4 linked regions of the Elephas maximus indicus genome follow. The protein of the gene in region 1 purifies or fractionates together with the protein of each later gene. This does not show direct contact. Links are inferred from orthologs where the notes say so. Each region holds a gene or a part of one and is shown in the gene's direction. Other genes may lie near its edges. The genes, in order: PRKAG3, PRKAA2, PFDN1 and PIP4P2.

What was found.
Region 2: the proteins of PRKAG3 (region 1) and PRKAA2 purify together in Homo sapiens (affinity purification with mass spectrometry; 3 studies listed by BioGRID and IntAct, counting the BioPlex papers as one, with this or other methods). This does not show direct contact. The link is inferred for Elephas maximus indicus from reciprocal best matches to the Homo sapiens genes PRKAG3 and PRKAA2.
Region 3: the proteins of PRKAG3 (region 1) and PFDN1 purify together in Homo sapiens (affinity purification with mass spectrometry; 3 studies listed by BioGRID and IntAct, counting the BioPlex papers as one, with this or other methods). This does not show direct contact. The link is inferred for Elephas maximus indicus from reciprocal best matches to the Homo sapiens genes PRKAG3 and PFDN1.
Region 4: the proteins of PRKAG3 (region 1) and PIP4P2 purify together in Homo sapiens (affinity purification with mass spectrometry; 3 studies listed by BioGRID and IntAct, with this or other methods). This does not show direct contact. The link is inferred for Elephas maximus indicus from reciprocal best matches to the Homo sapiens genes PRKAG3 and PIP4P2.

Annotation. Positions count from the first base shown.
Region 1 is NC_064824.1:117,394,954-117,402,289, reverse strand, and holds the start of PRKAG3 (5'-AMP-activated protein kinase subunit gamma-3), read left to right. Parts: upstream 1-4,223; 5' UTR 4,224-4,324; intron 4,325-4,831; exon of another isoform or gene 4,832-4,879; 5' UTR 4,880-5,001; coding exon 5,002-5,034; intron 5,035-5,482; coding exon 5,483-5,540; intron 5,541-6,028; coding exon 6,029-6,184; intron 6,185-6,482; coding exon 6,483-6,889; intron 6,890-7,336. UniProt on the Homo sapiens protein: AMP/ATP-binding subunit of AMP-activated protein kinase (AMPK), an energy sensor protein kinase that plays a key role in regulating cellular energy metabolism.
Region 2 is NC_064821.1:100,485,674-100,492,995, forward strand, and holds the start of PRKAA2 (5'-AMP-activated protein kinase catalytic subunit alpha-2), read left to right. Parts: upstream 1-4,188; 5' UTR 4,189-4,505; coding exon 4,506-4,599; intron 4,600-7,322. UniProt on the Homo sapiens protein: Catalytic subunit of AMP-activated protein kinase (AMPK), an energy sensor protein kinase that plays a key role in regulating cellular energy metabolism.
Region 3 is NC_064820.1:153,560,963-153,568,696, reverse strand, and holds the start of PFDN1 (prefoldin subunit 1), read left to right. Parts: upstream 1-4,441; 5' UTR 4,442-4,473; coding exon 4,474-4,506; intron 4,507-7,667; coding exon 7,668-7,734. UniProt on the Homo sapiens protein: Binds specifically to cytosolic chaperonin (c-CPN) and transfers target proteins to it. Binds to nascent polypeptide chain and promotes folding in an environment in which there are many competing pathways for nonnative proteins.
Region 4 is NC_064833.1:50,887,590-50,894,993, forward strand, and holds the start of PIP4P2 (type 2 phosphatidylinositol 4,5-bisphosphate 4-phosphatase), read left to right. Parts: upstream 1-4,125; 5' UTR 4,126-4,315; coding exon 4,316-4,421; intron 4,422-7,404. UniProt on the Homo sapiens protein: Catalyzes the hydrolysis of phosphatidylinositol-4,5-bisphosphate (PtdIns-4,5-P2) to phosphatidylinositol-4-phosphate (PtdIns-4-P).

The DNA of each region.
Region 1 (7,336 bases):
TTGAGTTTTCTATTACTTGTGGCTGAAAGCATCCTAACTGACACATCCTACCTTCTGAGAAATTTCATCTCAATTAATTCAGAGTCTCCCTATCTTCCCGGGGATTGTCTAAGTTCCTGAGTACTTAGGTAAGGCTGAGGTCTGGGGCACCAGGGGAGGTATTTGGTCCTCAGTCATCATCTTCCCACACTGGCATATCCATATCCCAATGCACCTTCTTTAGGAAGCCTTCCTTCATCAAACTTGTCTCATCCCAATCCTTCTTTTACTCTATTTTCCCCAAGTATTTTTTTACCCCATGGATACCCTACTGGTTTACTATTATTGCTTTTTCAAATGTGCAGTCTTTTTCTTGGGAAAATGTAGTGGTATAAACATCACTACAGAAGTCTTTGAAGGTGTCTAGGCCTTCTGATACTTTGTTAGTTCCAGTGTCAGTTAGAACCCTTTCAGCTGCAGGTGACAGAAGACTCAATTCAAACCTCATTAAGCCAAGAAAGAGTCTATTGGTTGCTCTAATTGAAAAATTCAGTGATGGGTCTTCAGGTATAGTTTGATCTAGGGGCTCAATGAATGTTAGGAAGACTTAGTCTTTCTCATCATATCATGGCTCTTTTGCCCTCTGTTTAGGCTTCATTCTCAGATAGGCCCTCTCTTCATGGTAGCCTCCAGAATCTCTACGCTTACATCCTCACAGCTCCAAATCCAGGGGAAAGAAATTCCTCTCCATTAGGCCTAGCAAAAGTCCCAGGATTCATCCCTATTGTACCAATTCTGTCAATGTCCTCCCAACCAATGTGACCGGGGGAATTTGTGTGTTAATTGACTAAGTCTGAATCAAAGGCATCCTTCCTGGGGCCCACAGTTGACCCTTCCCAAATCACAAGCTCTAAGATTGGGGGAAGTGTGGTTCCCTGAAGGAAAACTCAGGGATTTTCCAAAAGAGGGGTACATGGGTACTGGGTAGATAAAAGCACCATCTCTCCACTATGATCCCCAACAGCTCACAGAAAAAGGCTCAATAAGGGTGCCTGGGGTAGGCTGTACTAACAAGGTGCTGATTCTGACAGGTCCTTGGAACACAGGCACAGATGCAGCTCTCTTTCACCCACACAGACAGGACGGGAGCTGGAGTGTCTGGGTGAATGGCATGAAGGGTGCTTCCAACCACTCTGACACGAGGGGACCCCATTTGAGATTTATCAGTCATAGGTCTCATTGAGGCAACTCTCTTGGCCTCCTCAAGCTGTTTTTCTCCCTCTGATATAAAAATAACATTTAAACAGGATCCCTGACCCCATGTCCCAGACAAATCAGCTATCCAGAGATGGCAGCCAAATTCACCCTAGGGTCAGGGTGCAGGGTCCTTATTTTACACCCAGTTCTGCAAGCAAGCCAAGAAGTAAGATTTCAAGAAATATGATGCCATGACCAGAGGCTAAAATCAATCACCTGAGAAGTATTTATTATCCATCCGAAGCCAGCACCTTCTGCTGATTCTCCCTGCCAAAGAGGATGGGTGGCGGGTAGGCTGGCAGCAAGAGCAGGTGTTAGAGTTCTGAGGCAAGGACCAGGGCCAGGGTAAAATGAGGGCAAAGCAGGGGCAGGGCGGGGATTCATAGGGGCAGGAGGACAGAGACTGGGCAGGGGCGGGGCAGGGATAAGGCAGGGGCAGGAGGATAGGGTTAGAGCAGGGTCAGCGCGGGCAAAGGAGCAGGGAGAGCGCAGGGGCAGGGCAGAGGCAGGAGAAGGGCACAAAATCACTATGATTTTGGTGTTGAGCAGTGCGGGGTTTGCCCCCTCCTCTGAGGCCCTTCTCTACTCCACCTTTGACGCCACCAAGTAATAACTACTAGAGTCAGAGCCCTCTCATGCCTGCCTGCCTTCAGAGCCTCGTAGCTGGAGGTCTAGGAGAACTGTGAAGCAGGTGGCAAGGTAATAACAATAGTAACCACTTACAACAACCAACCAGGTGCCACCAAGTTGATGTCAACTTACAGTGACCCCACTTTGTGTCAGAGCAGAACTGTGCTCCGTAGGGTTTTCAATGGCTGGTTTTTGAGAAGTAGATTGCCAGGGCTTTTTTCTGCATAAACATTAAGGGTTATTACAGACATATGTAATTTCTAATCCTACCCCAATCTGTGATACAGGTAGATGTATGAGTTAGAGAGAGGCTTGGTGGCTGTAGCAAAGGCGCAACTTATCAGTGGCTTAAACAAGACAGACAGTTATTTCTCTACAAAATTAGGTGGCCAGGATGGGGCTGGGGGAGGTTCTATCATTTTCAACATCTGTCTTCCATGGTTGGGTTCAAATAGCTGCTCAAGCTCCCACCATCATATCATGATTCCAGTCAGTAAAAAAAGTCAGTAGGAAGGGGAAAATCTGCCACTTCCTTTTAAGGGCACCCTTAAGAGTTGCAAACCACATTGTTGCTCACATCTGATTGGCCAAACTTAAGTCACATAGTCATACTGTGTGTAAAAAACCATTGCCATCAAGTTGATTCCAACATATAGTAACCCTATAGGGCAGAGTAGAACTGCCCCATAGAGTTTCCAAAGAGCTCCTGGTGGATTTGAACTGCTGACCCCTTGGTTAGCAGCCATAGCACTTAACCACTGATCCATCAGGGTTTCCACTATCTCTAAAGGAAGCTGGGAAATATAATCTTGTGCTCAGCTAAAATCTTAAGGATTTACTAGCAGAGCAAGAAGAGGAGAATAGATATTGCTCTGTCAGAGCCCACTGCCTGGCTACCCCACACAAAGAACACATTCACCACTCCTCCAAGGGAGGCAAGACAAAGTTCCAGTTGGGACAGCACACAGCTCAGAGTCCAGGATCTCTGAGCAGTCCTCTCTACCAGGTCTGGATGGGGTTCCTCATGGTCTGGTGACCTAAAAATTGAAAGGCGGAAGTATACCCCTCCATTCCCCATAACAAAAGTGGAACAGGAACTGGACAGCTCAATTAAAACATCCACTCAGGATAGCAAAGAATGGCAAACACCCATCACTCACTGAACTTAACAATTACTAAAACCAGCTGGGCAGGGATTACAAAGCCCCTTCCTGGCAGTGGAGTAAGTTCTTGGTCAGTGTATCTGGCCACCTCTGGTTCTGTTCTCTGGGAGGATTACCCCTTTCCACTCCCCGGTATGGCCTCTGGCTTTGCCTCCTAGGAATTATTCCTTACCCATTATCCTTGTGGCCCATTGGAGAACGTGTCCTCCTTGTGGACCCCACAGTTCTCATAGGCCTCTTTCTGCTGGTACAGACTTGGGGTTTGGGGGCATTTGGGGGGAGTCAAGCTAGACTTTGCTGATCAGGTTCCTGGTTTCTTTTTCAATACAATGCCCTCAAATTCTTAGAAGGCTTCTGACCAGTTCCTTATTTGAGTAACCACAGTCAACAGTACTGTGTAGACATCAATTTTACGCTTGAATATGCTATACTTGATATTCTTCCTATTCTCCCCTCTTTCAAACTACTGGTGGTTATCTTGAGGCCATCTGAGAAAACATGCTTGGCTGTGAAGACACTCCATTATTCTGATTCTGCTCAACAGTTTGTGCTTAAGAAAGGCTATGGACCACATGTGCAGCCCTTGCTAAGGCAGCCTCTTCTCAACCACCTCCTCTATTTAACCTGAGCGCATCTCTCTTGTAGAACTTTGCTACTAGCAGCAAGACATAGCTAACACACACCAACGGTCGGAGTTTTTCCAAGCATAAGGAGGTGGGGCAGGGATTGAGGGGGCTTTCCAGGTCCACTGCATTACATATAACCAAAGATGGTCCACTTGGTCTTTCTACCATCTGAGGCATCCACATTAGCAGTACATTGGAAATTCCATCATCTGTGGCCAGATAGGGCCAGGCCACAGGGATCTCCAGAGGGTCAAATGGGGAAGTGGGAGAAGGGCTGCACACATCCCCTTTCACGATACATATGAAAGGCAAAGTCTTCCCCTTCTCTGTTCTTATCCACGCCCCACACGCAGCACATGGGTTTTGAGGGATGATGCAAGAAATCCATGGATCCATTCCTGAGTGTCCACTGCAGGGCCAGGGACTGGGATGGAAGAGGCTAGAAGGAGGAGAGGAAGGGAGGGGCAGGGAGAGGGGAGCTGGAGCAGCTGGGTCAGCATTCCCTATTTGGACATTGACTCAGGCCCCAGGAATGCCAAGTAGGGTGGGGGTGGGCAGCCTACAGAGTCAGGCTGGGATCCCGCTGGCTCCAGGAATTGCAGGGACAACACACGCAGTCTGTGGGGTTGCCGAGGCTCCTGCACACCCAGACATACCTCCCAACCGCAGGTAAGAACAGGTGTCTCACCCTGTGAAGAAGTACAGGCCCTTAGCCCTCAATGCCACCCCATAGCTTCAAGGTGATCCCCACAGCTCCCCACCTGCCCGAACTACCCCCACTCCAGCCCCTCGTCCAGAGAGAGGGACAGACTCTTGAGACTCAAATGAGAACCTCTGGACAGATATTGGCGCCTCTCCCAGGATCACCCACAAGCCTCTTGGGTTATCCCCAGCCTCTGAGCAGGTAGCTTGCACTTTCCAACTCAAGTGGAGAAAGTCAGGCCCAACCCACCTCCATTTTCCCTCCTTTGGAGCCTGACAAAAGTGACAGAGGCTCTCAGAGTAGGAAGCTGGAACTCTGAAACCCGCCTCCTCCCAGCCCCATGCCCCCACAATGCTCCAGGGGCCTCCCCCAGGCAGTTTCTCATGTAACCTGTCCTCAGAGACCCAGGAGGCAATTAGGGGCCAGGCATCAAGATGTCCACATGCTCCCCTTTCTCCCCACCTGCCCCCCAGGCCGCTGGGCTGGAGCAGCTGGGTGGATGGACCCCTCCCTCCCCACAGCCTGACACCCAATCAGAAGGAAACCGATCCGGAGAGGGCAGGGTGCCAGAGGCCAGGCCCAGAATAGTGCTACCCAGCCACAGTGTCGCGGACTCACTCTCCGTGGGTCCAGGGCTGGCTGCATGGAGCACGAGCCGGAGCACACACTGAGCAGGGTATAGGGGTCTCAGACGGGCGGCAGCTGGGGCAGCTGGGGCAGAGGATGAGAGCACATTTGGCTAGAGAGAGAGAGCATGTGTGTATTTGGTCTGGATTGTCTCTGTGTATGTCAGCTTGTGGGTGTCTGTGTCTGTACATTCGTGAGTGTATGTAGTTCTGTGTGCATCTGAGTGGTTGGATATTAGTGTTTGTGTATGGCTGCGTATGTGTTTATGTGTGTCTCTGTGTGTGGGGGTGTGTATGTATGTGTGTGTGTGCCTGTGTATGTGTATATGGGTATTTGTGTGTCTGTGTGTATGTGTGTTTTTGCGTCTGTGTGTCTATGTGTATGGGTATGTGTGTGTCTGTGTATATGTATATGAGTAAGTGTGTGTGTATGTGTGTGTGGTGGGGAGGGGAGGTCCTGTGGTTTAAGAACTTAAGGAGTTTTCCCCTCCCCATCAGACATACTTCTCCCCACAGACCCCATCCTGGAGCAGACTTGGAGAGCCTGAACATCGAGGTAGGTGGTCCTGCCCCTCTCCCAGGGGGCCTAACCTTTCCCTGACTCCCTTTGCCCCCTACCTCTCTGTGACCCCAATTTCCCCCCTCCCACCAGCCTGGCTTTTATCTCCCTCTCCTTTTCCTTCCTTCTCCCTCTGTCTCCACTTCCTCCTTTCCCCAGTTGTTGCTTTCCTCACCTCCTCTTTCCTTCTTCCAGAAGAAGAGAGGAAGAATCTGAAGTCTGAAGACTTGGACCCCAGTCCTGACTTCACCACTTACTAATTGTGTGATTTGTAGCAAATTGCTTAACCTCTCTGAACTTCAGGTCCCTCACTAGTAAAATAGCAATGACAACAATGCCTCCCTTATAGGGCTGCTATGAGGTTTATATGAGAAAAGTGTTGGAGAAAAGCCCTTTAGAATCTTGCAAATATCGTTATTAATTAAACTTTATTGATTTTGTTGTGTCACTCCCCATTAACCAAATAGACCCCATTCTCCTTCCAGAGATGAGCTTCCTAGGGCAAGGAGATAGTGCCTCATGGTCATCACCCACCATGACCACCAGGTCAGAAAGAACCTGTGGGAAACAGGGGGCCAAGGCCTCCAAATGGACAAGGCAGGAGGTTGTGGAGGAAGGGGAGCTGCCAGGCCTGGGGAAAGGTGAGGCCAAGGTCAGTGCTGGAGGAGGGGGGAGTGGTGGCTGTAGGAACTCCCAGAGTGTGGGGCTGGACTGTGCCCTGAGTCTGTCCATAACACAGAGTTGGACCCAACCTTCATCTTGTAGACTCAGTCTACCCAGGGGCCCAGTGTGGCCAACTCAGAAAGACAGGACAGAGCCACTACCTTGTTGTGTGACTCTGAGCCTCAGCTTTCTCACCTGCAAAATGGGGGCCACAGCAGCCAGGCTTCCCAAGTGCTTCGGAAGATGGAGTTAATGTCCTCCCTCCCCTCTCCACAGGTTTCCCATCCAGGCCAGCTGCTGAATCCACCAAGCCAGAGGCCACATTCCCCAAGGCCACACCCTTGGCCCAAGCTGCTCCCCTGGCCTGCCCAGGCACCCCGCCAACAGGGTGGGACCTCCTGCCCCCTGACTGTGCCATCTCAGCTGGGGGCTCCAGCACAGATGATCTGGCGCTGAACATAGAGTTCCCAGCCACACCAGACGGTGGATATGAGCTCGAACGCCTAGTGGAAGACAGGCCCTCCCCATGCCCGTCCCCAAAGTTTCCGCTGCCCAAGATGGGCTGGGACGACGAACTTCGGAAGCCCGGGGCCCAGGTCTACATGCACTTCATGCAGGAGCACACCTGCTATGATGCCATGGCAACCAGCTCCAAGCTGGTCATCTTTGACACCATGCTGGAGGTGAGGCACAGCTCTGTCCCACTAAGCTCAGTCTCCATTCTCACAGCACTGCCACATTCCCCTGCATGTCCCCTTCGAAGGTTCCTTCTTAGCTCCATGGAGACCAGTGAGTGGGTGGAGGGAGGGTTTATGTTTTCTTTGAACACCACCTGATTGTCATCCCAGCACTGCCACCTACTATCTGTGGGACCTTGGTTCAGCTACTTTACCTCTCTCATTCCTGAAATGGGTATATGAATGCCTGCTATGCCCTACCTGTTAGAGAGCACTGCTGGGACCACCCATTGTAAACGGGAACAATTTATAGACAGAGAAGCACGTGTAAGACACTGCAGAGTCTCTCAGGACAAGGAGTAGGGAATGAACTCTGGTCCCTGTTTTCCACTCAACCAAACTACAAAGTGTCTATGCTTCAAGTCTTACCATCATTACAGCAGAGCAGTGTTT
Region 2 (7,322 bases), on another chromosome or scaffold:
TCATTTCAAGTAAATATTCATTTTCATACTCAATTTTGTATTTTTTTCCTAAAAGATATCCCTCCAAATTGTGCAAACTTCAGGAGCCACAGAACCTGAACCTATTTGAGTCCCATAATGCGCTGGGTACTGCTCTGGGAGCTAAGGATACATAGTGAACAAAACAGAGAACAAGAAAAAAAAAACAAAAACAAAAAAAAACTCTCTTTTGTGTAACTTACATTCTAATTGGGGAAGACAGACAAAACGAAAACATAATAAAGAAGTAAATTAAACAGGATGTTAGAAGGCAAGTGCCATGGAAAAATACTGAAGAAAATAGAAGGGATATAGAGTGCAGAGCAGGGAGCATGGCTGAAGTGAAACTGCAAATTTAAATAGGGTGGTCAGGGCAGGCCTCAGTGTGAAGGTGACTCTGAGCAAATACTTGTAGGAATTGATATTACCAATGGAATCTAGTATAATACATTAGATTAGTGGCACTCCGTTATTCTCCCATTTGGGTCCTTCTTTAGGCTACCAAAGTAAAATAAACCCAAAGGCCCTTTAACAAACCAGTTGCCATTGAATCTTACCCATGGAGACTTCGTGTGTGTAGAGCAGAACTGCGTTCCATAGTGTTTTCAAGGCTAGGACCTTTTGGAAGCAGATTACCACGGCTTTCTTCCAAGGTGCCTCTAGGTGGGTTCGAGCTGCCAACCTTTTGGTTAGTAGTCAAGTGCTTAACTGATTTCACCACCAGGGACACCAAAGACCATTAGTAGGAAGGAAAATTAATAACGGTTGGAACAAAGTTAAGAACTGTTTGGCTACCTGGAGTTGGCCATCTTAGGGCTTGGTGCTAAACAACATAAGGACACTAAAACATCACTGAAAAATAATAAAATGAGGGATATTACATTTTTGAAAAAGTCTTTTGGGAATGAGACCCCGAAGGATATGACTCTTTTTTGTTTTTATATAGAGACCAAAGTTTTATTAGTGGTTACGAGGGGCAGGAGGGAGTGAAAATGGGGAGTCGTTTAGGAAGCAGTGAGTTTCTGTTTATGATGATAGAAAATTTGGCAGTGGATATTGGTGATGGTTGCATATCACGTTAATACAATTGATGTCACTAAACTGTACATGTGAAAGATGCGAAATTGGCAAATGTTGTATAATGTATATTTTTACAATAGGGAAAAAAAGCGTCAGAGCAGGAAATGCTGTGTCGGTACTAAAACAGAGTCAGGTAGTGAGAGCTTTTCCCTCCCTGACTTAGTGGCTTCCTCTGCCCACCTCCAAATCTGCTGTGACCAAACCACTAGTGAGTTGTGAAATCTTCCCACAGAGCTTTTATTGTTCTAGATATTTTTTTGGATTACTTGGTTTGGATCTGCAGTTTAAAGGTGAGTTTGGAAATGTGAGATTCTGCATTGTGTTTCTAGTTCGTGTTGATTTACTTACTGTGATTTTTCCCCCCAAGAAGGAATGACTTTTGATAGGTTCCTGATTTCAGAGAACCCACAGCAGTTTTATATTGATAATTAGAAATAGATCAGTGATGTCATAGAAGATTAATAATGACCAAGTAGGTGCCAAGGATATGACTCTTTAGGAGATTTGGTTTGGTTAACTGTTATGTTTTGCCTGCTGAGTAGGGTGATGAAAATAGGAAACCATACATGAAGTGTTCATGGCAACAGAAGAAAGACTAGTACTGCCATCAAGAGTTGTCCTTTTCCATTGTACCTATTAAGCCTTTAATCTTTCCTTTAAGTTGGGAAAATCAATGGAAAATACGTTTAAAGGGCATATTATTGGCTTATCCTAAAAATAATAAAAACAGAATGGGACTACAATTGTGAAAATTTGAAGCTTTCTTAGAGTACTATACATTCTTTTTTCCTAAGCAGCTGTGATATAGAAAAAAAAAAAAATGGATGAGTCAGCACTGGATATTTGATTCTGCTTAAAAACGGGAAAACATTTCTGAAGCTTAGTTTTATTACCTATAAAACAATAAATTTCTTCTATGAAAATTAAATGGGATAACTGGGTTTAAATGAACTCTTTAATCAACCAAGCAGCATACATAATAATGCTACATAGACTTATGCAATGATTATAGACATGACATATATAATAATTTAAATTGTAATTATCAATGAATAGTGGTATTAGGCACTGGGTTAGTGGTATAAAAATGCTGTAAAAACTCAATCTATAATCTTTCTTCACACAGCTTCAAGAAATGAATCTAACTACAAATGAAAACTTTTTGGCTTCTTTTAATGGGGTGTTAGAATAAAAGGCCAAGATCCCTGCTGGTGCAAACAGTTAAGCGTTCAGCTGCTAACTGAAAGGCTGGCAGTTCAAACCCATCCAGTGCCTTCTCAGGAGAAAGACCTGGTGTCTGCTTCCTTAAAGATTACAACCAAAAGAACCCTACGGGGCAGTTCTACTCTGTCACATGGGGTCACTATTGAGTCGAAATCAACTCCACAGCACCTAATAATGGGAATAAAAGACAGACATACACCTTATTACCTTAAAAACAGAGTAGGTACTTTATTTTCTTACTCATTTTAAAGAATATTGAAGGATTGACCCCTAACCAAATGAAAGTTCAGCATCAAAATGACTATTTTCTCCAAATTGCCAGCTCAGTTGAGTGATTCTTAAATACTTCTTGTCAGAAAGAAAGATGATGTGAAGAATGAACAAAAATAGCTCTGTTCAACAGCTGTGATATCTATAATTTATCAGCTGTGATCATCTCTCAGCAGATTGTCTTGGTGTCTAAAGAAGAATGAAAGTGTATTTTCCATTTGTATATGAAGTACTTCAAAGAAAACAAACTTCTCTTATACCTATTTTTTCTTAGCCATACATTTCTCTTTACATACAAGCAGCGTGCTAAGGGACCTCATGTTTGAAGAATGTGAGCTTAGACTCTATTGACACATACGGTGTTATAAATGTTTAATTAAAAACAAACAAACGAACAAAAAACCAAACCCGGTACAACCCCATGTGTTACAGAGTAAAACTGCTCCATAGGGTTTTCTTGGCTGTAATCTTTATGGAAGCAGATCACCAGGCCTTTCTTCTGTGAGGCTGCTAGGTGGGTTTGAACTCCAACTTCTAAGTTAGTAGTCAAGCACTAACTTTTGCACCACTCAGCTACCTAAATGTTCATCTAATCTTTAATAATTTGTCCCTAAACAGTAAATAATCTTGTTAAGTACTGAAAGGTATGACCACATTAAGGAAAGAAGGAAATAATTTCACTGCCAAATTGTCAGTCTTTAACACTCTGCCTGGGTGTCATGCCTCTAGTTTCCACTTACTATTTTTCTTTCACTTCTATCTTTATCATATTTATTATTTCTTTGATTTGGGCCATTTTATTGCCCTTGCTCTTCACAATTCCTCTTTGCCTCTTAGGTACTTTACTTTCTATGCTTATTACATTCAGTTTTCATTTCTTTCACTCTTTTTCCTTTGTACAGCTCTGTCACATACTAGTATTTTTGTACTACAGATTTACCTGAGCATGTGCTGAAGTACAACCGAGCAAACACTGTGACTTTGATTTATTGGAAAACTTTGTGCAAATTAGTTAAAATTGAGAGCTCTGGAGAAGAGGGTCTCTTCCATCTACACGGCAAAATAACTGGGAATTATAAAATATGTAAAGAACAATTAAGGAAAGCATAGAATTGGGTTCTGTATGTACCACGGCCAATCAAAAAACAGCCAGGTCCTGTCTCGAGAAACTTCCTTTAGCTCTCCTCAGACTGCCGTTTGATCAAGGTCCTTCCCACCACCCTCCCTGGACTTTCCGCACACCCACAGCGTATGTATATATCTATGTGTATCGATGGCACTAGTTTTTTTTTTTTTATTTTTTATATACCCATAGATATATATTTTTTACATCCCTTCCTGCTACTTTCACGTTTTTCCATTTCCGAAGATTCTTCCCAAATCTCACCTTCGCACTGTCACCGCCTTCAGTTTTCCTCATAAGGGGTTCCCGGGCCGTGTCCCTTTATCCCCCTCCTCGCAGCACCTGCCTGTTTTTGACCCTATTTCGGACTTCCCACACCTGGCTCGGGACCCCTCCCTCAAATCCTCCTGAGACGCCGCGTTCACTCCTGGCCCGGGCCCACGACCTCGCCGCCTCGCCGCCTCGCCGCCTCGGGCCCCGCACACAGACGTCTCTCACGCGCGGGCGCGGGAGCGTCCGCCTCCCCACACGTCCTCTCTACGGTGCGAGCGCCCGGCTCGCCGCCCGTTTCGCGTTTCCCACCTCGGCCAGGCCCCTCCTCTTCGCCACCTCCCGTCCTCCCGGGACCCGCGCCCGCACCGGTCACCGCCGCCTGCGCCCCTCGGCGTCTCCCGACTCGGCCCCCGCCCTCCGCAGGTCCCGCTGCACTGTGGGTAGGCGGCAGCGGCGGCGTCCGCGTCCGCGTCCGCACTGAGGAGCCGCCGGCCGCACCGGGCTGCGGGCGCCGAAGATGGCTGAGAAGCAGAAGCACGATGGGCGGGTGAAGATCGGACACTACGTGCTCGGGGACACGCTGGGCGTCGGCACCTTCGGCAAAGTGAAGAGTTGAGTATGCGCTCGAGGCCGCCGCGCGGGGCTGCCCGAGGCGCTGGAGGTCGGGCCGAGCCGGGAGAACCGCGGGAACCGCTGGAGCCCCGGGCCGCGGGAGGACGGGCGGGCGGGCGGACGGGCGGGGTGCAGGGCCTGGCGGCAGGTGGAGCGGCCCGGGGCCGCGCGGAGCTTGGTGGCTCCGGGAAGGGGTCGGGCGAAGAGGAGCGAGGGTGTGGGTGCAGGGGACATTTGACCCGGGTTCCTGGTACGGTGCCGATTTCACTTTCCAGTGGTCTGGAGCAAGGCACTTCTCACTTCCCCGGACCTCAGTTTCCTCGCCTGTAAAAATGGGAGACTGGAATAATACATCTTACTGATTACTGAGTTTCTTTTACGGGCCAGATGCCCTGTTAGGTGCTTTTAGTGTGATCTTTAATCCCAATTTGGTGAAGATATCTTCACTGCAAAGGTGAGAAAACTGGGATCCGTGGAGGTTTAGTAACATGCCCAAGGTCACACAAATTGGCAGAACCAGGATGAAGTCTAAGATGTCTTCCAATTCTGGCATTGCTGGGAGTTCCCTGCCATTCCTAGATTCTTTAATGCTGAGTCTCAGTTGGTGGGGCTGGAGGTTTAGCGGATGCTCCAGGGGCCAGGAGGTGGGTAGGTCTTTTTGCTGGCTATGTGAAATGCTGGAATACCGCTGGATTAAGTCATGGGTTAATTAGAAATGGGAGATTGGTTGGTGTTTGTCAAAGGAAGGTTTCTGGGATGGGGAAAAGGAATAAGGTTTGTTGGTACTGAACTTTTGAAGATTTGGGCTCAGAGGGGCAAACCTGCCAAGGCATATACTGCTGACGTCTGTTTTCTTGATGATAGGATCCCATTTTGGGGCTACTTTTGGAATTTTCTACTTCTTAACTAGTTATGTATAAACACCCCCCCCCCCCATAAGAGTCACTTGGGCTTTACTTAACATGTCTTCTCTCCAGAACTAGAGCCAGTTTATTAAAAGTATTTTCTGTTTGATTGTTGAAGGGTTGACTTTTTGTTTGTTTGTTTCTTCTGTAGAAAATGTTAGGTAGATAGTTTGGACATTTTATTCTGAGGTCTCTATTTTCTTCTAAAATCATGCTTTAGCTTCAAGTCCAGACCGTTGAATAGGTAGAAGAGACTCATTGTTCCCAAATTCCTGTGGTAAGGATCAGTTTCTATTTACTTTTCCATTTTTTAATGTCCATTCATTTGTTCAGAAAGCAGTTAATGAGCACCTACAGTGTGCTAGGCACTGTTCTAGGTAATGGAAATACAGCAAGGAACAAAATCAGGAAGGCAAACAATAATCAAAATATATGTAAAATATATAGTATGTTTAGATTGTAGTAAGTGTTATTGAGAAAAATGAAGTAAGGTAGGGAGAATAGGGAGTTTTGTGAGGTGTGCAATTTTCAATAAGGAGGTTAGGAAGGGGCTCACAAAGTGATATTTGTGTAAAGACCTTAAGAAGGTTGCGAGCTTCTCTGAAGTACCATGAAGGCTATAAAGTCCTGAATTACCTTTGAAAAACCTCATAGAGTAGATAGAATATGTTTAGAATGAATATAGGAAGATCAGATGTTGGATTAATACCTGTAACGTTAACTTGTTATTATCATTATCGAGGACTATTGTATTACAACATCATGCAGTTACTCAAACAAACAATGCCTTTGCCATCTGGACGTGTACACTCTGGAAATTATATAACTTACTCCTTGTCCTTTTAAATTGTTAAATTTTTTTTTTTTTTTTTAATTTTCTCCACTGTAATCTGAATGTAGACTAGAATACCCATCAGATCAATTACCCATTGTCAAAGGATGACTTAAATTGCTTTTGTATATACTGTTGAGCTACTGCCAGGCACTAGCTTCTTAAAGTTCCAACAGAAGGAACTTTGATTTACAAGAAATCCTTTTCTGGAGAACCCCTGTCCAGTGAATAAACAATAGGAGCAGGTTTCCTAACACTGTGTTAGATCCTCTCTGAAGTTATGCTGTGGTTTCCCATCAAAGATTAGGATCAGTAGAATTGTTTGTTTAATAAAAAATATAGAACTTACTACAATTCTCAGTTACTCATTTAATTCAAGACAAATGAAGGAAAAGCACACCCATTTTTTAAAGCAGCTTTATTGAGGTATATTTTATGTATTATATTTATACCCATTTCAAGTGTACAAATCAGTGATTTTTAGCAACTTTATCAAGTGTTACAGCCATCATCATAAATCAACTGTAGAACATTTTCATGCCCACAGTAAGATCTCTCATGTTCATTTACAGTTAATTCTCATTCCCACCCCTGCCCTAGGAAACCACTGATCTATTTTCCTCTGTATAAATTTGATTTTTCTGGACATTTTGTAATTTTATGTAAATGGGATCATTCACTATGGCATCTCTTGTATCTGACTTCTTTAGAGTACTCTTTCTGAGGTTCATGCATGATATAACATGCTGAATAATATTCCATTGTATGGATATGCTATTGGTAAATTGTTTTCACCAGTTGATGGACAATAATTATTTTCAGTTTTGGGTTATTACAAGTTATGCCACTATGAACATTTGCATGTGCATGTAAGTTTTTATGTGGACATATGTTTTCATGTGTCTTGGGTAGATATCTAGGGAAACCCTGGTGGTGTAGTGGTTAAGAGTTTGGCTGATAACCAAAAGGTTAGCAGTTCAAATCC
Region 3 (7,734 bases), on another chromosome or scaffold:
GCTTGAAGGTTTAGGGTGATGGTTTCATTGGACCAAAAAAAAAAAAACAAAAAACACCAAACCCATTGGTGTTGAGCCGATTCCAACTCATAGCAACCCTATAGGGCTCATAGGGTTTCCAAGGAGCGCCTGGTGGATTTCAACTGTCGACCTTTTTGGTTAGCATCCGTAGGTCTTAACCACTACACCACTACGGTTTCTTTTCATGAGACATCCCAGTTAATCACCCTAATACGTTTAGTGCTTCTATTCTACCTTCTAGTTCATTGTGTAGTTGGTGCCTGAGGTTTTAAAAGCTTACAAGCAGCCATCCGAGATACAACAATTGGTCTCTATTTGCCTGGAGCAACAGAGGAAGAAGGAGAGTCAGTAATAGAAGGAAGGAACGGAATGTGAGGCTGATTGCCTCCATGAACAACTGCCTCCTTTGCCATGAGACGAGAAGAAGTGGATGGTGCCTCGCTACCATTACTAAACATTTTGATCAAAGATTCCATAGAAGATTCTGATCAAAAGGGGGGAAAAGCAGAATGAAATTTCGAATTCTCATAGAAACCATATTTTCTGGAGTCATAAAGGCTGGATGAACCCCTGAAATGATTGCCCTGAGGTAATCCTAAACCTTAAACCAAAAATATTCCCTGAAGTCTTCTTAAAACCAAACGATAGTTTTGCTTAACTAGTAAAGAATGACTTGAGCATTGTGCTCTTTTATGATCTATCTATATGGTATGAAACTCACAGCAGCAACTTGAAAGATTACAAAGGAAACTTAGACAGCAGTGAATTTATATTAATGGGGAGGAATAACTCAGAAAAAGAGGGTGAGAATGGTTGCACAACTCGAAGAATGTTATCAATGTCACTGAGTTGTATATGTAGAAACTGTTGAATTAGTGTATGTTCTGGTATGTATATGCTCAGCAACAACAAAAATAAAATAAATCATATATTAATGTAAAAAAAGAAAGTTTATTCCTCAAAGACTTAATAAGAGAACCTACTGAAGGATTTATTTCATCAAGAAGGAAGTTAAACCAAGGAGGAAGGAGTGGGATGCAAAAAGAAACAATGAACAAAAGATTGAGAGAAGACTCTTGCCTAAGGGCACATTGATCTTTTTTTTTTTTTAAAATTGTAGTTTAGACGAATGTTCACAGAACAAACCAGCATCTCATTAAATAGTATACATAGTGTTTTATGACACTGGTTAACAACCCCACGACATGTCAACACTCTCCCCTCTGGACCTTGAGTTCCCTGTTATCAGCTTTGCTATACTCTCTAGCCCTCCAGTCCCTGCCTCTGGGCTGGTGTTCCCCTTTAGCCATGTTTTGTTTTATGGGCCTGTCCAGTCTTTGGGGGCACATTGATATTAAGGAGTCAGTACTTGAACCTAAACTGTCTGACCTTAGCCCGTACTTTCATGTTACATACTTTTTTTTTTTTCATGAGGAGCGTTTCAAAATCACATGATGAAATGCACAGCAAAGTATCCGAAACCTTCAAATTTCAATATTGTCACTATTATTGATCATCTATAATTTTTATAATGAAGTTCTAAGAAGGCAGTAGAGGATCTAAAATTATGAATTAGGCCTGTTTTTCTGTAAAGTTAGAGAGTGATGACAGTTTTCTTCTTCTGAAGAATTCATTTATATCCAAGATTTCTTATGTATTTCTTTCCTGTGAGGCACTATGATAGGTGTTCTGGGGTAAGGGGTGTAAGAACAAATAAAAAATGTTTCAAAAAATAAGGTAGAAACTGTTACACGCCTGTATGAATTACGTGTCTGTCTATCTGCCTTACACATACAGACGGTCTGTGCCTCAAACTTTCAGGCAGCCACAGACTGCTAGGAATGAGGCATGTACACCCACTGACATCACCAATTCTATGGGTGTTACATTCATCTGTTTCGAGCTGGACATATGAGGCACTTATACAATGTTGGGAAAGTGAAAGCCATTATTATTTATAGAAAGCAAACAGTAAATAGTAACAACGGATTCACCAAAGGAGAATCGCTTACCCTTCCCCAAATTATCCATGTCCATCTTATGTTGCAGGGCAGGACTGCCATAGTTCAGGTCAGATGTCAGATGCTGTTTTCATGTCACTGCTGCCTCTGGCTACCACCATGATGCTTGTGGGGTCCTGTATGGCTCCTGAGGCCTCTGCTGCCACTGGGCCTTGCTGGCCTTTACTGCTGGCTCCTGCCACACTACCCAGGCTTGCAGGGCTCTCTTGCCTCCACATTACCTGGGCCCCTGCTGCCCAGGGAGGGAGGTGTGCAACCACTGCAGAGGCACACTCAGGCCTCTCTTCCCTGCAGGAGCAAGCGTTACCAGCTCTTTTAGCTCTGCTGGAATCGACTCGATGGTACTGGGTTTTGTGGCAAGCCTCCTGGCCAAAGGCTCCCGGCTTCGCCCTGCAGTAGGAATATTGCACAGGGTCATCCAAGGCAACCCCTGCATGGGACACACTCAGACATCCGCCCTGCACAGGCAAGTGTTACAGCTATTTTAGCTCTGCCTGTAAGTCTTCTGCTCGAAGGTGCTCAGCTCTCACTCTGTGGGCCTGCAACCCCACCACAGCCACCTTGCTCAGTGGGCTGACATGCTCACAGCCACTGTCTCTTGCCATCTCATGCTGTCTTCAGTGTTTGCTTTCTTTTTGGTTGAGGAGGTTCTCATGGAAGGGACCCAAAGGTCCTTGGTCCAAAGGACGTGCTCTGCTCAAGACTCTTCTTCCTGATGGTAGTGAGGTCCCCTGAACCTCTATGTGATTGGCCCTTATGTAAGGAAACCCCTTGTCAATTTCCAGTCATGGCCCTCCCACCAGGACCACAAACTGACCAATCCCCTTGGTAGACCATAGTCACTCCATTTGCATAGTTCCAGCCAATCATTTTGTGGGAGTACAAGACCATGGCTAGAAGAGCCATGTGAAAGTGATTCATTGCACCACAGTGCCCTGAGAGAGAAACAGATATAGTCTTGAGGGAATTTAGAGGAGGGATTATCTTTGGTGTGTGTGATAGGTTATGTAAGGATCAAAAAAGACATAACGGAAGAGGTGGCATGTTTGCTGGACCTTGAAGGGCAAACAGGATAATATTAACTACAGCAACTATCTATTATCTACTGTGTGCACGGTGCTGTCCTTGGAACTTTCATCCTGATCCCATTTTCTGCACAATAACCCTGTTAGATCGATATTGTTATTCCTAAGTGAAATATGAGGAGATTGAAGCTCATCAAGGATAAATGAATTGCTGAGACACACAGTTAGTAAATGGAACCAAATAGACCTAAGCTCAATGTAGGCCAAGCCCTGAATCCAGATCCAGAATTTTGCTCGTTCCAAATTCCCTGATCTTCCCTCTCCCTCAGTTTTTAGGGTAGATAAAACATCTATTTCCTCCATTTCAAAAAGTCCAAATACTATTCATTCCTCTAGTTCAAATGTCAGGTCCTTTTAGAGCAGAAATTCTCAAAATGTGGCCCACTAATGCCTTGCATTAGGTCATCAGAGAGTTTGCAAAATGCTTATTTTCAGGCCCCACTGTCAAAGATTTTAAGTACGTTTGGGATGCCACCACCAGACTGCCATTTTGTAGTTCTGTGGTGGTTCACATGTTGCTATGATGCTGGAAATTATGCCACTAGTATTTCAAGTACCAGCAGGGTCACTCATAGTGGACAGGTCTAAGTTGAGCTTCTAGATTAAGACAGATGAAGAAGAGAAGCCTGGAAATTTACTTCCGAAAATTAGCCAATGAAAACCTTAGGGATCACAACAGAATATTGTCCGATATAGTGGAAAATAAGCCCCCTAGGTGAAATGGCACTACACAATGGCTGCAACAACGGACTCAAACATACCGACGATCATAAATATGGCATAGCACAGGACCAGGCAACGCTTCCTTCTGTTACGCATAATGTCGCCATGAGTCAAAGCAGACTCCATGGCAACTAACAAGTTCCGGATGAGGCCCAGGAAACATGTATTTTTTCAATAAACTTACTGGATTTCTCTCGAGAACCACTTTGTCTAGGTCTTCAGAGAGCACTCAGCAGCATGAAAGTAGCATGCCTGAGGCGAGGGACCCATTCTTACTCATCCCTGTCAGCACAGGGACCTGCTGGAGGACTGAAAAACTGAAGGTTTGGTCTGATATACATACATCTCAATTTAGCAGTACAAACTAAGCTATTTGTCAATTTTTTTAAGCCCATACACGTAGTCTGTGCGTTGGGCCGTGTCTGAAGGATGGAGAAGAGCAACTCAAGCCTGATAAGCCATGTGGGGAAGACAGACTCTGAGGCCAGACCAACCGCTCAGAGACCGCCTCACTCACGCGCAGGCGTAGAAGGAAGGCGAACAGGCAGTTTCTTCAGGGCGCGCCCTTCCCCCGTCTCCTTTCCGGCCTTCTCCCAATACGCAGGCGCACAAAGTCAGCCAAGATGGCGGCCCCCGTGGATCTGGAGTTGAAGAAGGTAAAAGAGGGTTTTGAGCGGGTAGAGGTTTCTCTTTCGAAACTGAGGGGCCTGTAGACAAGAGTATCGACTGAGGCCCGAGTTCCACAGAAAAAAAAAAAGAGGCTCCAGGGGACTGGGAAGTGGTTTCCCAGAATCCTAAGGCGGGACCGGGTCTCCTTAGGCTTGGGTAAGGGGGGGAGGGGGCGAGTGGCTCTTGCTGGATAGGAGCCGGTTGGGTGGGTCTCTTTAAGTCTGCGGACCGATCGCTGGCTTGTCCCTCGTTCTGAGCTCCAGAGCCGTTTTGTTGCGCTAGGAACCTTCAGGGACTCAGTTCTATAGTAAAACTCGAAGAGAGCGTTTCAGATTGGAGCTCCTTCGGGCGGCTTGCTTGAACTGCAATTCTGCCGCTTCATTTGATTTGAAAAACTCCAGTCCAACTTGTCTTTTTAGGCCATTTATTCGATTCCATGGAGCCCTGCGGTGTAGTGGTTAAGAGCTGAGCTACTAACCAAAAGGTCATCAGTTCGAATCCACCAGCCGCTCCTTGGAAACCATATTGGGGCAGCTCTACTGTCCTGTAGGGTCGCTATGAGTCTGTCTCGACTCGACGGCGACAGTTTTTTAATTTTTTTATTTGATTCCGTACCTCGAAAGGTTGCAGTCTCTGCAGCTCAGAAAGTCAGGTATTTTCATAGGAATGTTCATATCAGGACTTTGACCCCCTTTTCTTTTTCGGAAAAACCAAAAAAACTTGTTGCTGTTAAGTCAGTTTCGACTCATAGCGACCTTATAGGACAGAGTAGGACTGACCTGTAGGGCTTCCAAGGAGCAGCGGGTGAATTCGAACTGCAGACCTTTTGGTTAGCAGCTGAGCTCATAACCACTGAGTTACCAGGGCTCCTTTTTGGGAAAGATTTGACAAAAAAAGTAATTAAGTCCAGTAAAGTTTTACCAATGAAAGAGATATCAGAAGGAATTGGGTTTCTTTGTTAAAATAATTGCTTAAAAATGTGTTACTCAGATTTTGTTATCTAAGAGTTGCCAGGTTTCTAACACCGCTGAACACATTGGTGCCTAGTCGAGTCTGACTCAGTGACTCTATAGGACAGAGTAGAACTGCCCCATAGGGTTTCCAAGGCCGTAATCTTTACAGGAGCAGGTCACCACATCTTTCTTCCACGTAAGAGCCAGTGGGTTGGAACCAGCAACCTTGCAGTTAGGAGCCGAGCCTTAACCATGCCACTGGGGCTCCTAACCCTAACCATCCAAAACCATACCATTTTTTCGGAGGGAGGTTGGAAAGGACCTTGGAAATCATCTAGCTTAAATGTATACTTCTCTAGAAAAGGAAACTGAGTTCCAGAAAAGTTATAGTCAAAGATTGGCACTAGAATCCGGTATTCTTTATCTTACCCCACACTTTTTTGACCATTAATTTAGGTTCTTGAGAAGTCCATCATATTACTTCTTGAGACTGCCTTCTGGTCAGCCTTTGCATAAGAAATCAAACCCCAGAACCAAACCCGTTGCTGTTGAGTTGATTCCAACTCATAGCAACCATATAGGACAGAGTGGAACTGCTCAATAGGGTTTCCAAGGAGCAGCTAGTGGATTTGAACTGCCAGCCTTTTTGTTGACAGCCCAGCTCTTAACCACTGTGCTACCAGGGCTTGTGCATAAGAAATAGGACAGCTGAAATAGCTGTTGCTCCTAATAAATGAAGCTGTTTGTTATTTCTGTGAGGATTTTGTGTGTTTGTGTCTTTTTTTGCCATTTTTTGTCTTAAAACCCGTAAATTTAGCCCTTATGTAGTGTTCTCTAGTGCTGTAATAGCTTTAACAATATACGAGCTTCCTTAACAAACTGTGTTGAGAACAATCAGGTAATACCTGGAATTTTACATTTCAGAACACTATCAGACTGCATTCCAAAATTATACCTTTTTTTTCTGTTAAAAGTTCAAATTTAGTAGTTTACTGAAAGATCTAACAAGGGAGTTTAAGTGTGAATGGACTTTACAGTATTATTTGAATTTACTACAAAAAAAACTAAATGGACTTACCCTGTAATATTAATTTGTTGCTAAGAAACATGTAGACAAAGATGTAAATGAGAATGATACTTAAATTGGATAGTTCTGACAACCAATTAAAGAAAAAAAAAACCCGGCAAACTTGTTCAAAGGTTTCATCTTCTAATGTTTTTTCAAGATCTTTTTTTGGATGGAGACTAATGGGAAATTTTAGGTGCCTTCCCTCCCCCCAAACAAATCTTTTGATACCTTACTAGTAGGTGAGAACAAAGTCAGAATAAAAGTTAAGTAGTAGTCTTTGCCATGTACTGTAGTCACAAATGTTATTAGTAAGGCTTAAGTTTGACAGCATGTGGAAGTCATTCCAGGCACTTCAATAAGAGTATCCAAGACCTGTGTTTATGTTCAAGTTAAGTAAGCATACACAGGGTAGAGTTTGGCTTGGCATGTGTGTATGAAGAGCATGACACAATTCTTCTACCAGTGCTTTGCATTTTCTATCTTTTTTGGTGTTTCTCTTAAAAAATATCCATATTCTGAATAATACTGAAGACAGTAAAATGGAAGATGCCTGAAATAGGGGTCAAAAGAAATGGATTTAAGTACCTGCCTTTCACCTAATAGTTGTGCAACCCTGTGCACAAATCTCCTAATGATTTTAGTCACTTTGTAAATTGTGGAAGTTGAGACTGCTGTTCTTAATTCATAGGGTTATTGAGAGGAGTGAGATATTTAATAGATATTCTCATATTAATATTCAAATTAATGTGGGAGAATGCTTTGAAACTTAGAAGTATGATACAAATGTAGTGAGTTGTTACATTTCTTGTTCTTGTTTTTAATCTTTGGGTTTTCTCTTCTAACTTGCATTTATTACTCTGGGTGCTTGCGACTTGTTACAGTTACTGTTTAATGTGCATTTCTTCTGCTTGTTTCAATACATTGGATCTTCAGAGGGCAGTGTAAATTCAGTGTTTAGCATAGTGCCTTGATCGTTTACAGTTACATTGATTTTTATTGATGTTTGCATTGGTAAATTTCACAGCTTTGTCTGGGTTTTGCGTGTTTTATTTTATTTTATTTGAATTTGACTTAAATGTTTCCTGTAAAATATTTTACTTACTAAATCAGGACTTGTTTTTATTAGGCCTTTTCAGAGCTTCAAGCCAAAGTTATTGACACTCAACAGAAGGTGAAGCTTGCAGACATACAGA
Region 4 (7,404 bases), on another chromosome or scaffold:
TTATTGCTATTATTCTGACCCAGTTTCATTGTTATATGTTGGGGTAAGAGCAATAAGGAGGGCTTACAATTTGTTTTTTTAGTTTACAGGCCTGTGAATCAACAGATAATGTACCTGTGGAACCAAACACATGGAGCCTTGTCTGCATCTGGACTTAATTTGGATGACATAATCCTGGACTTCGGTGATTAAATGAAATGTTGGGGTCTTGGGAATAGAAAAGTGTAGTTTGCTTGTAGGACAGACATGAATCATTGTAGGCAGAGGGAAGATTGATACATAGTTATATAATGGTTTTCGATGAATCACGACTTCATGTGTTCCATGCCCCTTTGCAATGTGACATTGCAGATGAAGAGACTTCCTTTGACCAATAGAATGTGGTGGAAGTGAATTTGTTTGAGAACCAGAGCCTAGACCTTAAGAGGCCTCATGGCTTCCACCTTGCCCTCATAGAAACTGCTTTGAGACTAACAGACATGAAGAAGCCTGTAATGAAAGACTATACCCGGCCATCCCAGCTGTTGCAACCAAGCCCAGCTCCCAGCCCACCTGCCAGCTGAACATACCTGCATGAGTAAGCCCAAGCGAGGTTGACAGAATAACCACCCAATCAACCTACAGAATCATAAGAAATAATAAATCACATTGTTTTAAGGCACTGGTCTTTGGTGTGATTTGTTACTCAGCGGTAGGTAACTGGAACACTAGCTTAAGCACAGTACATTTCCTACTCCCTCATAAATTATCTGTTTATATAGCACCTTTTATTCCAACATACACATCAGTTCATCTCATCAGTAGAAATGGCAAAGTGCCACAATCATAAAAATGCCTTTGACTGATGAATATTAGTTAACATTTACTGAGCAACCCTAAAATTCTGTATTCTCTTTAAACTAGAATGAAATGATACTCATCTAATACAAGTTTTTTTGCTTTCTGTGAAACAACATTGCTGCAAATAAAATCTCAGTATACCTACTACCTTTTTAAATATTGCAAGAAGAGTAATTGTCATTAGCTGTCACTCTCAAATGAATTTTTGAGAATCTATGTAATGGAAGAAGGCAACAACAACAAAAAAAAACCTCTTCTACTGAACATGATGTGGGCAATATAGAAACCCTAGTTATAGAGATATACTAGAAAACAAAAACACTGGGCAGTCAGATGGCAAAACTGTCATCATCAAAAAGCTGAGAATTTCTCCTAATTTTCTTGTGAAATAATTTGTTCTAGTAAGCTTCTGGGACTGTGGAGAATTTATTTTTTCACTCATTCCTCTCTCTGGCAAATATTGAGTGCCTATTTTACTACATGCCAGGAACTGTGCTAGATACCGGAGATATAATAGTGAATGAGATATATATGGCTTCTGACCTCACAAAATCAGTTGGGAGTGGAGGGTGGGTAATGGGAAGTAAACAAAAGAATGTGCTAAGTGATACGATAACCTGTTGCCATCATGCTGATTCTGACTCATAGTGACCATATAGGACAGAGTAGAACTGCCCCACAGTGTTTTCAATGTTGTAAATGTTTACAGAAGAGAAGCAGATTGCTACTACATCCTTCTGAGGAGCACCTGGTGGGTTCCAACTGCTGTCCTTTTAGTTAGCAGCAGTGTGCTTAACCACTGCACCACCAGGGCTCCTCCAAGTGACATGATAGGACACTATAAATAAAAAAAAAAAAACATAGTAACAGGATTTTAGTGACTCTTATTAAAAAGTTTTCTTTAACTTGATAGCACCCAGACTGCTATTGTAACAAGGCTGTTTGTTTTGTAAATGTCAGGCACTTTGGCAGGGAGGGCTACATCTTGACCCCTCCCCTTCCAGGTTCCTCCAAAAAACCAAACCAAACTCATTGCCATCAAGTAGATTCTGACTCTTAGTGATCCTATAGGACAGAGTAGAACTGCCCCATAGGGTTTCCAAGGAGCGGCTGGTGGTTTTGAACTGCTGACCTTGTGGTTTGCACCTGAACGCTTAATCACTGCACCAATAAATGTCCTTGGATTATATTACATGGGGATCCTTATATTGTATCCTGATTTTACTGACCCACAAAAGCTGCCACAAAATAGAAAATACCATTCTTTTATTTCCCCTTAGGATTTCTAGCTGATGCCTAAGTGGATTTTCTGGAAGAAAGAGTACAGTGTGTCTTCAGAGAGCAAAACCAAGACCATTCTTAATGTAATGTGAAAAGTAGTTTCAAATGTCTAAAGTCTGCTTTTCCTCATGCTCCTTTAAAACTACATCTAGGACTACCAGCTTCATCTTTGGTTTCTTTTCTGACTGTGTGATCTTTTAGGCATCTTGAGGACAGGGACCATGCCCTATTCATCATCTCTGTAGACCCAGTAAATGCAATAAATGTTTGTTGAATGACTCAAAGACTCATTGCAGGAAAATTATCATTGGAGACCGTTACTATTTTCCTGTAATATTATTATCTGGGCATGTTCAAAACTTTGATTTGTTTTTGTATTTTATGCAAATCACTCCCTAGGATAATATGGCAATCAAAAAATAAAAATATACACAGAAAGCAAGAAATGTACTTATATTTGTTTACTCATTTACATGTAAAAGTTTATTTTAAAATATTAATTATCTCAAGAAACTTGTTTTTAATTGTCCTACGTTATTTTTAAACTTCATTACTGTACAGGCAGTCTCCGGATTAGGAATGGGTTCTGTTCCTAATCTGTCATTAAAAGTCAAATTGTGGTAAGTTGGAATAGTTAGTTATGGTTGATATCTAACTGTCAGTTAGTCAAATGTTTGTTTTAGTATATAGTATTTTTTTTTTATTTTTTATTTATATAGTGCATCTTTCTATGCATAAAAAAAATTAAAGAAACACTTCCAGATACTCAAATATCTTTATCTAAGGTCAGTGGTGGTAGCTGGGCACCATGTAGTTCTTCTGGGCTCAGGCTGGTAGAGGCTCTGATTCATGTGGTTCTTTAGTCCTTTGGGCTAATATTTTCCTTGTGTCTTTGGCTTTCTTCATTCTCATTTGCTCCAGCTGGGATGGGACCAATAGGTGGCTGCTCACGAGCTTTTAAGGCCCCAGGCACTACTCATCAAAGTAGGATGTAGAACATTTTCTTTATGAATTATTGATCTAGAAGTCCCATGACAGTACAGTTCCCAGCCCCAGCAACTCAGTCCCTCATGGTATTTGGGTATGTCTAGAAGCTTCTATGACTTTGCCTTGGTCAAGTTGTGCTGACTTCCCATATATTGTGTGTTGTCTTTCTCAGCACCAAAATTGACACTTGTCTATTATCTAATTAGTGATTTCCCCCTCCCCAACCCTCCCCACTAATAATAATGCTTGATGTGAGGCACCCATTTGTTTTTAGGAACCATTGTATGTACCACAAAATTTTAATATACTAGGCTTTGCGGGGGGTGGGGGGGATGTTGGTTAGTTGTAGTGAGTTGTATGAAAGTCGGACATTCGTAACCTGGGGCTGCCTGTGTGTGTAAGATAGCAACCTATTTCGTAAAATGAGACTTAAAGAAGCCAACGCACTATGTACGGCTTTAATTAGGTACTTATTACTAGAGTGCCAAACAGGTATTAAAAAATGCAGTAAGAGAAAGCAGGGTATGCCAACACATTCAAAAATGTATACTTCCTCTTAGACTGGAGATGTTGAAAAGCTTTTGCATGACAAAAGATGAACCTCTCAAAAAAGAATTGACAACCCTAGGAATAAACTTTTTTCATATAATTGCTGCAAAGTTTGATAGCAAAGAGTCCCTCTTCCTCCCCAGAGGGACTAAACTTGATATCTGTGTTTGCTCTAGTTTTCCTGTAATCAAGTCACAGCCCGTTTTCAGGTTGCCCTTTCCCCTCCTTTTCCTTACTTAAGAAAATGCAAAATACAAAGAAAAGAAGAGTTGTATAGCCCCCTCTCCATCTACTCCGCCCCTTTTTTGGTTACTTCGCACCTTCCTTTTCCCACATTTCCCAGTCCGTCCTAATGTGTTCCTTTTTTCTCTGTGGGGCTTGGCTCCTGCTCCTCCCTTTCTTCCCCTCCTCCTCTCCCAGTCCCTTTCTTTCTTCTCTCCACCTCCTCTAGTCATGCTTCCCGGCGCGCTTCCCCTCCCCCGCCTCCTGTTCCCGCATCTTCCCATCCCCCAGCCTTCTGCCTTGTGACACATCCTGGGCCCTCTTGGAGGCGGCAGCAGCGGCAGCGGCAGCAGCGGCAGTATTAGCATTAGACGCCACCTCCACCAAAGCCGCAACCCCGGCTCAGCCTCCCTCTGGCCTCGCTGCTGCTGCAGTCATGGCTGCTGATGGGGTGGACGAACGCTCGCCCCTGCTGTCAGCATCTCACTCGGGCAATGTCACTCCCACGGCCCCACCGTACTTACAAGAAAGCAGCCCCAGAGGTAAGGCCAGCCTAGACCTTTCTACTTTTGCAAGGAAAAGCCTAGAATCTAAAAGACCAGGGATGCTCAAGCTCAGAGGCGAAGGCGAGAATCTCACTTGGACTGGGGGAGAGGGAATGCCGACTGCCTTCTGAAGGAGAACCTTCCTGCCTAATAGCTTCTCCGCAGGGCTTCTCTCTGTGCGTGCGTGTGTGTGTGTGTGTGTGTGTGTTGTGTGTGTATTGTATGGTGTGTGTGTTTCATTACTTCTTGACCAGGGGTAAAGGATGTGCCATGAATTTCACGAGCTGGGCTTTGCTCCTCTTTTTAGAGCAACCCGTAAGTGCAGCTGGGAGGTGGTGCAAATCTTTCACAATCATTCACAAATCCTTTCGGGTTCCTGAGAAACTGGGAATATTGCTCACCTTGGTATCTGTCCTTGAAAGGGCTTCAGCTTGTAGAATATGCATCCCCTAACGTTCATCCACCAGGGCTCTGTTCAGTCAGGGAAGTACTTTATTTACCACAATGAATTTAGTTGAACAACATTCCTATTGTGTGTGAAAATCTCACCCTTCCTTATTGCTCCTATTTGTAGGGAGTATGTGTTGGCTTTTAGTTGTGAATGGGGAGGAAGAATCTAACTTTTGATAGAAAGAAAAATGGGATATTTTTGATGCGTATCTGGGTGAGGTTGAAATGAACTTCTAAAAAGTAATCCAAAATAATACAGCATACGTTTCTATTTATTGTTCTTCTCAAGATAGAATTAAAAAGGATTTGATGGCATTGGGGTCTAGAGAAAGAAAAGGTAATCTATTTAACAAACTGTTCAACCTATTCAAAGATCTATCTTTGTTCTAAGCCTTTCAGCTGATTCCTATAGTAGAAATAAAGAGGGGTCAGGGAGTTACAGAAAATGGAGGACAAGACTTTAAGAAACCACTTAGGGTAGTGAAAAACCAAAATCCAAACCCGTTGCCATTGAGTCGATTCTGACTCATAGCAACCCTATAGGACAGAACAGAATTGCCCCGCAGGGTTTTCAGGGAGTGGCTGGTGGGTTCCAACTGCGGACCTTTGGTTAGTAGCGAAACACTTAACCATTGCACCACCAGGGCCCCAGGTAGGGTTGTGAAAAGGTTGGCCACATATGGCCCTTGGAAATTTAGCTTTAAGAACATCTCTCTCCTTTTTAGCTGGTTGTGAAGAAAGTTTAAAAACCCAAGGAGACAAAAAGTTAATGCTTTTAAAAATACGAGCAGGTCATGTTTCTTGTAACAAAACTTCTTCTGAGTTCAAGCCTGGAATTGGAGCAGCTGTAGAGCAGGTTCAACTTGTCTAGCATTTAAAATTCCCATTCAACACATTATAACTTGAAAAGCAGCAACCTAAATCTTTATCCATACTTAAAAGAAGCAGGACAAAGAAAAAAGAAAAGTTTACCTGGGAATAATTCGGTGTGATGGATGAGTATGAAATAAAGCGCAAAATGGAACCGAGACTCAACTCACAGAAAACCCAGAAGTCATGTTGGTTGGTCAACATTAAACTTCTGTTAGAGGACTCCAAATGGAGGAATTTCCTTTAATGGAAAATTTGATATTAATAATAATAATAATAATACTGGGATTTTACTGTTATTTAAGTTATATTGTCTAGAATAGGTTTAAATATTCATCAGTGAATGTTTCAACTTCATCAAGTCACTCTTTTAAGACAAAATATTTCACAATTTATTAAGAGAGAGAGTTTGGATATAAGTCACTGTCCTATAGACTATCCTTTGTCTTTGATTCTTTTTGTTGCTGTTGTTGTATTTTTAGCTACCTAGTAGCTAAATTATTCCAAAAAATGATCATAGTCATTGACCTGATTGTATCATTTACCATACATTGATTGAAGCTGATAAAATTCCTCAAACTATACAATAAGGTACAAGTTCCAGTTTGGCAGTGGAGGAAAATTAGTTTCATTCTAGAAAATTTTTAGCAACCATAGAAATTTAATGATTTAGCAAAAAGGCCATTCTGCCTTAAGGTAAAATAGAATTTTTCTAACGTGTGAGATTAGATCATCAGGGAGGTGATTTTCCTATGGTGTAGTACCTATGAGGCAAGACCTATAAATGAGGGTTATAAATCCTAGACAAGTATTTTGCATTTGGGCAGAATATCTTTTCATAATAAATAACAAATAAGCATCTTCATAAAGTTTATTTTTTAATACTGTTTCATATTGATTGAATCAAAATAGTCTTAGTTCATATCGAAGGTTTAACTTTAGAAGACTGGTGCTGTTCATTCATTTAGTAATTTATTGGACACCACAATGTGCCAGGCGCTGCTCTAGATGAACAAAAAAAAAAATTAAAGATTGACCAGACCCAGGCCCTGGTGGAGCAGATGTTGTAGTGGGGGTGGGGACGGGGGAGGGGGGAGGGAGAAGAAGTAAATATATAAAAAATATATATATATATGACTTAGTTATTTCAGGTAGTAAGAGAAATTCTGTCACTACAGCAGATGTTTTTAGTAGTTGAAAGCAATTAGAGCTGAATGTTGAGATTCAAAAGAACAGAAATAGAATGTACTTTTTGATAATGAACTTTGGTTTATGATACCATTTATAATTACCCAGAATTTTTTTTTTTTTTTTTAAGGAAGAGCCGTAACTAGGGAATATTTTCTCCATTCCAACCCTTTGCTCTTTGTGTCACCATCTAAGAACAGCAACGTGAGCACCCATCCCAAAATACAACATTCCATGTCAGGTTGAAAGTTAGTGGAATGTTTTTTCTAGATAGGTTATTAATAATTTAGTGGGAAGCAGTATTATTAGCAATAGTTGTTGGTAGCTGCCATCGAGTTAGCCCCCCAACTCATGTGACCCCCAGGCACAACATTGTGATCCACAGGGTTTTCATTGGCTCCAGGCCCTTCTTCTCAGTCTTAGTGTGGAAGCTCTGTTGGAACCTGTTCAGTGTCACTGCCGCACTCAAGCC